Linked DNA regions of Mus musculus. The protein of the gene in region 1 interacts with the protein of each later gene in a pairwise test. Links are inferred from orthologs where the notes say so. Each region holds a gene or a part of one and is shown in the gene's direction. Other genes may lie near its edges.

The links.
Region 2: the proteins of Fa2h (region 1) and Erlin1 interact in binary tests that used the Homo sapiens proteins (3 or more experiments, as listed by UniProt). The two-hybrid records come from large-scale screens. The link is inferred for Mus musculus from reciprocal best matches to the Homo sapiens genes FA2H and ERLIN1.

The regions. Positions count from the first base shown.
Region 1 is NC_000074.6:111,390,272-111,396,203, reverse strand, and holds the start of Fa2h (fatty acid 2-hydroxylase), read left to right. Parts: upstream 1-2,382; 5' UTR 2,383-2,451; coding exon 2,452-2,721; intron 2,722-5,932. UniProt on the Homo sapiens protein: Catalyzes the hydroxylation of free fatty acids at the C-2 position to produce 2-hydroxy fatty acids, which are building blocks of sphingolipids and glycosphingolipids common in neural tissue and epidermis.
Region 2 is NC_000085.6:44,065,807-44,071,738, reverse strand, and holds the start of Erlin1 (erlin-1), read left to right. Parts: upstream 1-1,953; 5' UTR 1,954-2,048; exon of another isoform or gene 2,049-2,343; 5' UTR 2,344-2,354; coding exon 2,355-2,467; intron 2,468-4,057; coding exon 4,058-4,139; intron 4,140-5,932. UniProt on the Homo sapiens protein: Component of the ERLIN1/ERLIN2 complex which mediates the endoplasmic reticulum-associated degradation (ERAD) of inositol 1,4,5-trisphosphate receptors (IP3Rs).

The DNA.
Region 1 (5,932 bases):
TAGATGTGAAAATGGGGTGAGGGTGACCATTCAGGTCTTGTTGCCCAGGCCTGATGGCTACATGTTCCTTAGCACATCTAAAGTCACAGTAGAACTTTTACCTATGCCTGGAGGGTGAGACCAGCTAGTCAGACTTCCCGTCCTACTGTTGTAGTGGCCCCGAGGCTTCTGAGACAGGCTTACCACACAGTGCTAGCTAGCCCTGTTGTCTGGACAACAAGCACAAGCAACCTGGGAAAAGCTTTTCGGCAGGGGTTGGGGGCAGGACAAAAGTCATCTGGATGGGGCAGCCTCAGAACTGGCAGTTTGATCACTAATCAGGATCCATGGCTGAGCAATGAAAGCTGTATGTGGGTTTCCTTGTTATTAACAAGGTTCTGATGACACACTCAGTCTACAGGCTTTGCCTCTAAGGCCCCTACTTTTCCTTGTAGAAAGGAGGCACGATTCCCTGTCCTCCCTCCAGGATTCTGTCCCAGGCGTCATGATGTAAGACAAAATTGAGGCACCAAAATTTAAGAGCCTACGAAAAAATTCAAGATAACTTTGAATCTCAAATCAAATGCTTTAAAGTTTTTTTTTTAATTATGTGTGTTCCTAGATGAGGTGATGCACACCTTTGATCCTGGTACATAGGAGGAAGAGGCAGGCAAATCTATATGAATTTAAGGCTAGTCTGGTCTATAAAGTGAGTTCTATAGATACAGTGAGATCCTGTCTCAGAGAGAGAAAGAGAGAGAGAGAGAGAGAGAGAGAGAGAGAGAGAGAGAGAGAGAGAGAATGTGTGTTCCTGTGCAGACCAGGGAGGGTACAATTCTTTGGAGCTGGAGTTAGTTATAGGTGATTGTGAGCTGCCTGCTGGGAGCTGAACCCTAGTGCTCAGGAAGAGCAGTGAAGGGTCTTAGCAATTCTCTCTCTAGACCCACCATAAATAATTTTTCCTTCTTGGAAATATTACAAGTTTTATTCTCCATTCACTGGATTGTGGCTCATCCAGAAATCAAGAATACAATGATCAGTCAGAATAAAAGATCTCACAAAAGAGATGACGTGTGCACACACCCATCAGTTGCCAGGCAGGCCAGCAGTTCACCTCTACCTCTGAAGGGCTCCAAAGCCACTGCCCTTCCCTAACAAGAGAAAAGAGGAGGAGGCTGGGGGTGAGGGCACTGAATCAGCCATGTCTTTATTACAAGATTGTGAGGTGACAGATTTGCTGATAGGTGGACAGATATACAGTAAATTCATAAGTCAATAAAGTAAATAGAAATTCCCAGGATAAACACTTCACTAGTCTTCCACAACTCAGAACTAATGCAAAAGGTCCACAATGAACCCAATAGAAAATGCTTAAATAAAAACACAATCCAGCTATGCGGCTTCCCAAAGCTGTCTTACTAATAATGGCTTTTATTTCCATACAATATAATTTATAAAAACATCTGGAAGGCTGGCCCGGTGGTTAAGAGCACTGGCTGCTCTTTCAGAGGACCAGGGCTGCCAGCATATACACAACTCCTCACAAACTTCCCACAAATCTCCAGTTCCAGAGGATTGACACTCTCTTCTGACCGCCAGAGGGATGGCATGCGCATATGCATACACACACTCATACACAAAGTAAAATAAATCCTTTTTTAAAGTCGTCTGTTCACTCACCCAATGCACCCAGTGAAATATGTTTTGGGATTTTTTTGTTTCATTTTTATTTAAAATTGTAATAAAATGTGTACAATATACGTTTCAGAAATAAATATTCAGCATTTAGATGCGCATTCACACGGTGGGACGACGTAAGTTTTTAAACATTAAATATAACTATATATAATATTTAATTATATAATATATAATATTTAATTATTTAAATATATAATAGATACTATATAATAATTATATATAATTATATGTGATTAAATATTAAATATAATTAATTTCCAAATATTAAATATATTGTGGCTGAGTTTATATATTTCATACCCCCCAACCCCTGGGACTAGACCAGACCTCCGCCCTAGTGACTCTTGTCCTTGGCACCTCTTGAAACTGCCGAATTGAATACAGTAAGTTTCCCCCTTGAAGATGCGGTTCCTTGAAGATGTAGAAGTTGCGTGCCCGCCGAGGAGGTGGTCCTGACAGTCACCTTCAATGCGCTGGCATCCACCAGCAGCCGGGCACACCTGGTGGGCACGCCCTCTACCTGCCCAGGGCTACCTGGCGGGCCGCGCTCAGCGTCTTGCTCTCGGGGCTCGGGTCCCTGCGGGCCAATGGGGAGGCGGCTCCGGGCAGCAGCCGCGTCCCACCGAGTGGCCAATGGGAGCAGGGCATGCAAATGAGCAGGTGCGGTGGCGGCCGGCCCGTTGCGGCTGCCCCGGCTCCCGAGATGTTAGAGGCGCGCTGGGCAGCCGCGGAGCAGACTGCCGGGCTCCGAGATCCGAGCTCCGCTCTCCCGCCATGGCCCCCGCTCCGCCCCCCGCCGCCTCTTTCACGCCCGCCGAGGTCCAGCGGCGCCTGGCGGCCGGTGCCTGCTGGGTCCGCCGCGGGGCCAGCCTCTACGACCTCACCAGCTTCGTGCGGCATCATCCGGGGGGCGAGCAGCTGCTGCTGGCGCGGGCTGGCCAGGACATCAGTGCCGACCTGGATGGGCCACCTCACAGACACTCCGACAACGCCCGCCGCTGGCTGGAGCAGTACTATGTGGGCGAACTGCGAGCGGACCCGCAGGTACCAGGCGGCCCGGGGCACTCCCCGCTCCCTGCCTCACACCCCTCCCCCAGTCCGCCACTTTAGAGAGCTCAGATCACCTGCCCTCTAGGAGAACGCAAGGTGACAGCCTCCACCCTCACTTCCCTCCGTTTTCCCAGTTTCTCTCCAGGTAACCGGTCACTGACACCCCCTCTCCCATCCCCCTATTTCCCGTTCCTATCACCAGGAGCTTGGTGTTCCCGCTACCCCCCTGACCCGGCTGCATCCTCCTTCCAACATGTCCCTTCTGCAGCCCCCCTACCGCCTGACAACTTCGACTCCTGTTTCTGCCTCCAGCCACTACCTCCCACCCCACCCCCTTTCTCTCTTCTCTTCCTTTTCCTTTATCAGCCTTTCTGGTTTCCTTTCTTGTTTCAGTAGTGGGTCCCTAGGCTCACCTGGCCTCAGTTTCTCCATCCCACCACTCTCTTGGTTCAAGGAGACACAAATCCAAAACTCTGCTCTGCCCCCTTCAGGGGCTCCTGTGGGTGAGTGAGTGAGGGGCCCGAACAGCGTTTTATTGATTCTATCCTCCAGCCCCCGGTTTTATTTCCGTCCTAAACAGTGTTGTGGGTTTGAAAGAGTGAAATAAAATACACGAACCAGCTTGCTAAGGAGAAGTCGATATTTCTAACCCAGACTATGCTAAACTCTCGGTACTGCTGTGTGGTACAGACTCATCTTGGATTTTTACCTTCAACCCATCCTGGGTGTTATTCTCATTTCAGGATGTGGAAACAAGGGTTCAGTGAAGTTCTATAAATGTCTGAGGTCAAACAACTAGGTAGTACAAAAATCAAGTGTTTCTTATTCAAGAATCAAAGTCGTCTCCATCTGGAGGGTTGGGAGACAGAGCTCTTGGTAGACTCAGGTGGAGCCAAGCTAACTCCTTATTCTCAAGCCTGATAGCAGGACTGGTGACAGCAAGGCCATCGTGATTAGGTTAAAGCAACGGTTGGTCCTTGTTGCTCGCGATCTTTCAAGTGCTTTTAGATCTTTAGATGAAAGGACATGCTGTCCACTGTTCCAAGAGACACCTCTTATCCATCTTGCCTAATTCTTATCTCTTAGTCACTTACTTGGTTCTTAAACGGATTGACGACACTGTGCTGGGCACCAACAGCCATTGAACAGAAATGGTTACCATTTTCATGGAGTGAACAAGTTCATAAGGAACCTTACTATGGACTCGGTCATTGTTTAATTACATTTATTAATATTTATAATATTTGCATACTGGGTCTGGAGCAGGTTCAGTAAGAGCTACCTTGAAGAAAGTGACATTTTCACCAAGAGCTAATTGAAGACAGAGCTTAGCCAAAAGTGGTAAGAAGAACATTCCAGACAGAGGAATAGCATGTATTAAAAAACAAACAAACAAACAAACAAACAAACTGTGGCACAGTCAAGAGACAGCAATGGAACCAAGGTGACCAAGGGCTGGCAGGTCAAGGGAAGAAAGAGGTGGGAGCTAGAAGTTATTGGGGCTTGATCAAAGGGCCTCAAAGGCTGTGGTTGGGGGTTTGGGGGCTTGACTTGCAAGGCTAAAGGACTTAAGCTGAAGAGTGGTGCGGAAAGATTTGCATCTTCGGAAGAGTAGCCTTGCTCCAGTGACAAGGAGCGGAGGGAACTCCAGTGGATGTAAGGAGTTCCAGAGAAAAGGCATAGTTTAACCACCATGACCAGAAGGGAAAGGAGATTTCATAATAGAAGATTTGACAGATTTCATAAACTGTCCAGACTTGGCATTCGACAGCGGGGAACCCAGAACAGTATAGGGAGCTGGTGTTTGGTGTCAGGTCTTGCTGACAGAACAGAAGCTTTGCTGTGAGAAAAATTGCTACAGAGATCAGTGAGCAGTTAGGATCAGAACACTGGAGATGGCCAGGCCTGTGAGGGTACATGGACCTGCCCTGTATTGTAACTGTGTTCTGCAGTCGGGAGCCTGAGGGTGTGGCCTCTCTACTCAGTACCATTCTGAATGTCACTCCCTCCCCTGCACTGGATGGCCCCACCTTCCTGCTTTGCCAACCACCCAGCGTCAGGATTTGGTTTGGTTTCACCTTGCCCTGCCTGACCCCTAGGGTCAGAGAGAACTCAGAGGCAAAACCAGTTCACCCTGGGCTCCCTACACCTGCTCTTTACCTGTTATATCCCCAAGTCCCAGTGTGGTCACGTTGCAAACAGATTTCTGGGCCCCAAACTGGGGGTATAGAGAAAACTAAAATCTAAGAGTATAACTCCAGGCCCACAGACCTAATCTGGCCAGCAGCCAAAGTCACCCTAGTTCAGTAGGGGCACTCTGTGTCTTCTTCCATAAAGAAGGCTCACCCCACTTTTTCCCCTGTTCCCTACTTTGCCACACCCCTATGTACGCACTGCACACACACACATTCACACTCACACAAAGGCACATACAGAGAACAAGTCAGACTTGTTTGAGCTAACATACTGTGGGGTAGGGGAGATGAAAGATCTGTAGCTGATCGGGGAAGCTATCTCACCATCCCTGGCTGCCAGAGGCCAGTGGGATCAAGCCCCTTAGCCTAGGCATGGAGAGAAGTGCTCTCCCACCTGTGGACATGAAGCCCTGTTGTGAACACCACTTCAAAAAAGAAGCAGAGCTGGTGAGTGGCTGGGTGGGTAAGGGCGCTTGCCACCAAACATAATGACCTACCTGAGTTGGATCCCTGGAGTCCATACAGTGGAAGGAGAGAACTGACCCCTGCCTCTGACCCACCCCTGTGGACTCTGCACAGGCACATAATAAAGTAAATAACTTAAAGAGAGAAATGGGCAATGAAGGGATTTAGTGTGTAAACCTTCCTCCAAGACCATAGACATTATGTCCCCGAGACTTTGGTCACCTATGAGTCACTGACAGACACCCCCTGAGTTATGATGTTGGATAGCCATCTCTAGATAGGCTCACCTTTTCTTTTAGCATTTATTGACCCTGGGTAATAATACCAATGCAACCATGTGTCTTTTTTTTTTTTCATTTCTGTGTTTGTTTGGTTTGGTTTGGTTTGATTTGGTTTTTGACCCCAGGTCTTTCTATGTTATTCTAGCTGTCCTGGAACTCAATGTGCAGAGCAGTCTAGCCTTAGATTCACAGAGATCCACTTGCCTTTGCCTCTAAGGGTCTGGTTTTAAAGATGTACTCCATCACACCCAGCCTTACATATAT
Region 2 (5,932 bases), on another chromosome or scaffold:
GCTTCCACGACCTGCTTTTTTTTGGCAGGGGAAGGGTGTTGTGATCATAAAAAGAGAAAGAGCTATAAGAATATGTTCTGGCACAATGTTGGGGAAGGGGGTGCCTCAGCGGGCCCATTGCCAAGGCATCCCCTCCCCCTGAGGGACCAGACACACACCAATATAGTATAGAATAGAGTTTATTTAGGGCACGGGGAGGGGAGTTAAGAGGGTAGTAGAGGCAGAGAATGGCAGAGAGTAGAGAAGTAGGGACAGGCCATGGCCACCTGGAGGGGGGCAGGGGAACGGGATGGGAAACAAGGAGGCAAGAGGTAAGAGAGGCAAGAGCTTAAGAGTGAGAGGAGGAGCCAAGCAGCCCCTTTTATGGGGCCACGCCTACCTGGCTGTTGCCAGGTAACTGGGGGGTGGTGGGGGAGCATATGTGGCTGCTGCCAGGAACTGTAAGAGTGGAGCTTAGACAGAATACCAACAAAGGGGACCAGAGGAGATGAAAATAGCTAAACTGTAATATTGGTCTGCAACAAACAAGGTCCCATACATTCCGTGGTAATAAAAATCAAATGCACGATACAGGTTAGTGCATGTATTGAAGGGGTGTGGCTAGATTTGCTCTTACAAAGGCCTGAATTGATTCTCTTGCCTGTCATTCTCTTTGTTACTAGCATCATACATAACCTTGTATTTGCTGTTGTATATCCGTTTCCCAGTTTCCTGTCTGTCTTCACTCTCAGCCAGTTACAGATACAATGCCCCAAAAGCACTGCTTTCTGGTATTTTCCTGCACAGGAGTTTGGTAATCCTTCCAACCTTGTTAACCTTTTCTAGTTGTCTCTGCCCTTAGTGAAATAGAATGCCCTTATTTCCCATGTGTCCCTATATCTCTAAACTCTACCCTTTCCTTTTAGTTTTTGTTTTGTAATACATGCACATGGTGTGGGTTTATTCCCTAAACCTTTTATGATTATTAATTATTGTGTGTGTTGGTGTGTGGTGTGGGGCATGGACCTTTATGTGTGGAGATCAGAGGACAACTTGTGGAGTCAGTTCTCTGCTTTTCACTTCTGTGTGAGGTCTAGGGTGAAAATGAAGTCCTCAGGAGTTCACAAACTCCTCTACCCACTGAGCTATCTCACCAGGTCCACGTGGTATAGAATGTTAAAATACAGTGAAAAAAAAAAAAGGTCGATTCCCAGCACCGATGTGGCAGTTCACAACAGCCTTTAACTCTGGTTCCACGGGATTCAATGCCCTCTTGTGACTGCTGAGGGCACCAGGCACACAGATAGTGACTGACATGCATGCAGGCCTAACAGCCATAAATGAAGTCACTGTCTTCTTGTCATACATTTTCTCTATCAGCAGAAAAATGGATCCTAGACTTTGTAAATCTGGTTCTAGCCTATCTTGCCATACAACTCCTTTCAACCTTATCGCCGTCATGAAAACTCAAGCGTTCACTACTCATTTTGGCCTACAAGACAATCCCGACCTCCACATTCAACATACATATATCATTCTGATCCTGTTTCTGGGTGGCTTTCAGAAAGCACTCTGGTGTAGCATTCTGGCACAAAATAAATATTCAGGCCAAGTCTGAATGGTTAATTCTGGTTGAATAGCTTCCTCTTCTGAACTCGAACCCCTGATTCCTTGAGACTGGTCTGGTAGTTTCCCTAGTGCAGGGTGTGTACCTGGAGAATGTGCTTGCCAGTTGGACTAGGGACGAACCACAAAAGGATGCAGGAACAACTCCTACACTGAGGGGCTGGTCCTGTGCACTAGCATGCCTCAACCAGCGTCTGTCCGAGTGACCCACCCCAGGAGACTTGGTCCTCGTCTGGGCACTTAGAATCACTACACTGTGCGCGCACCCGGGGCCAATTTTGTCCCGCCCGCGCACCGTCTCGCGAGTCGCGGGCGGGGGCTGCGTCGCCTGCGTCCCCGCGCAGCCGCAGTACCGGGCAGGTGGGCGGGGCCGGCTGTTGGCAGCAGTTGGCGGGGCCGGGTGGCGGCTGCACGTGCGGGCGGGGGCGATGCGTCACTGACCGGTGAGGCGAGGCTCGGGGGTCGCGGTCCTCCGAGTGCCTGCGATCAAGGCCGCCCTCAGTCGGGACCTAACGCTTGGGGAGTCGGGGAAGAGGTGTCACGACGTACGCCGAGCCGGGGGCACCCGCGCAGGGGGTTGGCGAGGGGAGCGCTTAGCTGAGAGAGAGAGAGAGAGAGCCCGGGGCCGGAGCGCGGGGCTTCCCGCCTCAGCCGCCCGCGACCGTACGCGGGCTCTTCCCTGGGTGGGGACTGGCCTGTCACTCAACGGACTGAGGTTCCTCTTCTCCCCATGCTCAGGAGGAACAAGGATGAATATGACTCAAGCCCGGCTTCTGGTGGCTGCAGTGGTGGGGTTGGTGGCGATCCTCCTGTACGCCTCCATCCACAAGATCGAAGAGGGACACTTGGCCGTGTACTACAGGTGAGCGCCGCCCTGTGCAGCCCGCGATGGTTCTAGAAGCACAGTGGAAGGGTCCAATGGGTCACAGCGAAGTCTGGGAAGTTGCTCTTTTCCGCGGCGTCAGGGGAGCTGCTTCCAGCCCTGCCTGGGAAGTGGTTTCATCCCAGCTGCCGGGAGTTAACCTTTGGCGGGGCACTTTTCCGTTGTCGGGGCAGTTTAGTGCCAAGTTCGTTCTGTACAGAATTGAAGACACCTTAGGGGGCACGGAAGTAGTCACTGCAACCGAGATGACTTCTCATAGTCCGCACAACTGCACAGGTGTTTAGTTTGCCGCTGTGGATTTTTTCCGGATCTCTGTCTTACATAAAGACAGTTCTCCCCAACACTAAGTTGGGTTTTTTCTTCTTCATTAAAAAATCTCCCATTGTCTGGTTATGTCCCCCAAAGTCTTCATGACCAGAGCAATGTCATATATCCCTAAAGGCCAAGAGACAAAAACCACATTTGCAGGCCACTTTTCTCACTTTTTTTTTTTCAAGTCAAGGTGAAAAAGAGTGTGGACTCAGTTGCCATCCACCTGATTTGGCATAAATCAAGTCTAACTTCCCACCAGGTCCTCGTGGTATAAGCTGGGAAGAGAAGCCAGTTTGTGGACAACTTGGGATAGTGGTTTATTCTGAAACAAGCAGATTTTTGAATATTTCCATCATGCCCCCTAAACTGGTATTTCTACTTTTAGATCAGTCCAGAATCCTAGAAAATACATACTTTTGGTGGTATGTCTTAACAGATGGAGTTCTAGCATAAGAAATACCAGCCTGGACCACATTTCCATCCAGTTTATCACTGTCCTTCTGACAGGAAAACCACGAAGAGAACATACGGAGATACCACTCCAAAAAAAATGACTAATGAACCTGCAAAGGTTCATCTTTTGAGTTATGACTTAGGACAAGGATGAATGTTGTGGGAACTTACTATTCGTTGTGTAAAGTAGGACTTTGTGTTGTATTTGTCCCAAATTTGCAGGGGGTGCTTTCACCGTTCACATACTACAGAGTTTGATAAACAAGCCCCTCTCTCAGCTGTCAACTCAACCCTTTCGCTGTCTGTCTTTCCATGCTAGGTTTTTGTTACCTTTAGACAGAAACCATCCCCCTAGGATTGGACTCATGTATTGAAAGAACCATTAGCCTCAGAAAGTTTCTTCTTCCTTGAAAGTTTGGTTTTTTCCTTTTTTAAACTTAGCGATTAAATGTATTGTTTTGATTTGTCTCTTGTTATGTGTCATTAATTGAGAGTCATTAGAATTTTTTCCATAAGTATTTATCGGCAAACTAAAGACCAGAGAGGATCTTTTGAACCCAAGAGCAGTGCTAGAGACGCAGAGGTGTGGTTGGTGGAGCTTATGAAACAGGGTGCAATATTGGCAGTGGACTTGGATGCATTTTCACACTTTTAAATGTGATGGATGTTTGAAGTAGCAGTTGTTGAGTCACTCTGTTGTGAGGGTAGTAGGTTAGTAACATGAATATGAGTGAATGTTTGTTATAGCATTTTAAGTTGAAAAGAGATCCGAACAGTTTTGTCAACTGGAACGTCTTTTTGCAGGGGAGGAGCTTTGCTAACGAGCCCCAGTGGACCAGGCTATCATATCATGTTGCCTTTCATTACAACATTCAGATCTGTGCAGGTGAGTGACTCCTAGGGATTCCAGATAGACAGGTGTGACAGGAGTTACCGCACTGGTGGGTGGAGACGGAGTTCCTTATTGCTTAAGCAAACGTTGGTATTTACTCAGATGGGAAGTGAAAGTTCATAGTACAACTGTCACAGCACAAGTCATGATGTCAAACTGCCTTGCCAAGACTGCCTTCTGGCTAATGGTATTAGCAGGTTTTCTGTTACTGAAGTCAAAACAAAAGAAGAATTGAAAACACAATTAGGAATACAAATTAGTGATACCTTGGTTTAGAACTGTTTGGTTTCTACAGAGGCAGGCTCCCAGCCTACTGCTAACATGGAGGAATACATTTCAATACACAGCTTTTCAGCCTCACATTTTTGCTTGGTAAATTAAATGCAAATTTATGAGGCACCTGAATGAATGTGGTACTTTGACAGTGTTTCAGAATGTTTGAAATACAAATCTCGTTCTTGCAAAAAGTATCATGGTCCTAGGCCGTACTTAATAAATAACTCTGACATCACAAGAATGCAGAGCAGGATTGGGTTCTCGCTGATTCTGTAACCTCAGTGGGATCATAAATGTTTGAATTCAGTTTTATTTCAAATCTGCTGCAGAGTTTTCAGGAAACAGGAGAAGTCGGTATTATTCATATTCTCATGTTAGCCTTCAGTTTTGTGCTAAGTGAGAGCAACTGTGAATAGCCAGTTCTCCTTGGTTTCTTTTCTGTCCCTTCTCAATGGCTTACGGAAGTATTGTGCCTATTAAAGTGAGGCCTGGCGAAGCTGGTGAACGTGGTGAGGCCCGGGTTCTTTTTCTAGTCACAATGATTTCCAGATTGGCTTCCCATATTTGACTCACACTTTTGAAGGTTCTTTTTTAAAACCGTATCTTATGTATAGCAATACAATTAACACTTAGTATCACTGTAATAGAATGAATTGATATATTTTTAAACAAAAGAAAAAAGAGAAATGTTTTAGGTTATAAAACCTTTTCCCTTAGAACAATTATTTTATATTACTCTTTCTAAATGTTTTGGTGTGACAGATGTGCCCAGTGACTGGTACTTTGTACCCATTTTCTGATCATCGGTTGCTGATGTCTACTTCATTCCCTGTGCCTTCCTGTGCCGCCTGTGTCTTGCTGGCCTGTTTTAGGCTCATCCCAGTTTCTCTCTTCTGACCGTAGCGTACCAGCAGTTCTTGACAGTCCCAAAGTTACCAGTGGCATCATCAGACTGAGAGCCTGGGCTCCTTCTTAGATCTTGTTCAGAGCCAGGCAAATCTGTCTGCCTTCCTGAAACCCACTGTTAAGCAACATGGTGCAGCAGTAACATGAAGTAGATATAGGCAATAATAGTAAATAGATTTTAACCATTTGTATATAGCAAATATGCTGTGTGATCATCAGAAATAAGTGAAATTAATAAAAAGATTTCAACCTAAACTATCATAATTTTCTGTTTTGATTATTAATTACTTAAAAGTTAAATGTTACAGGCAGTGTTACAAAATAGGAATGTTCTTTTTTTACAAAAAAAAAAAAAAACAAAGAAGGCAGCATTCTAAGCAAAAATTACATTAACAAAACCCTTCTAAGGAACTCTTCTTAAGCAGAGTCATAAATTTACATTTTGGAATTTAGGGAACATTAGAGGATGCAGCTCTATTTAAACAAATGGTTTCACATAATACTCGAAGGAACTAATATTCATTAATGTGAAATGCCACATACAAGTACAGAAACAAAGCTTATATTAAAACCTTCAGTTTTTATAAATTTACAAAGTAAATGTG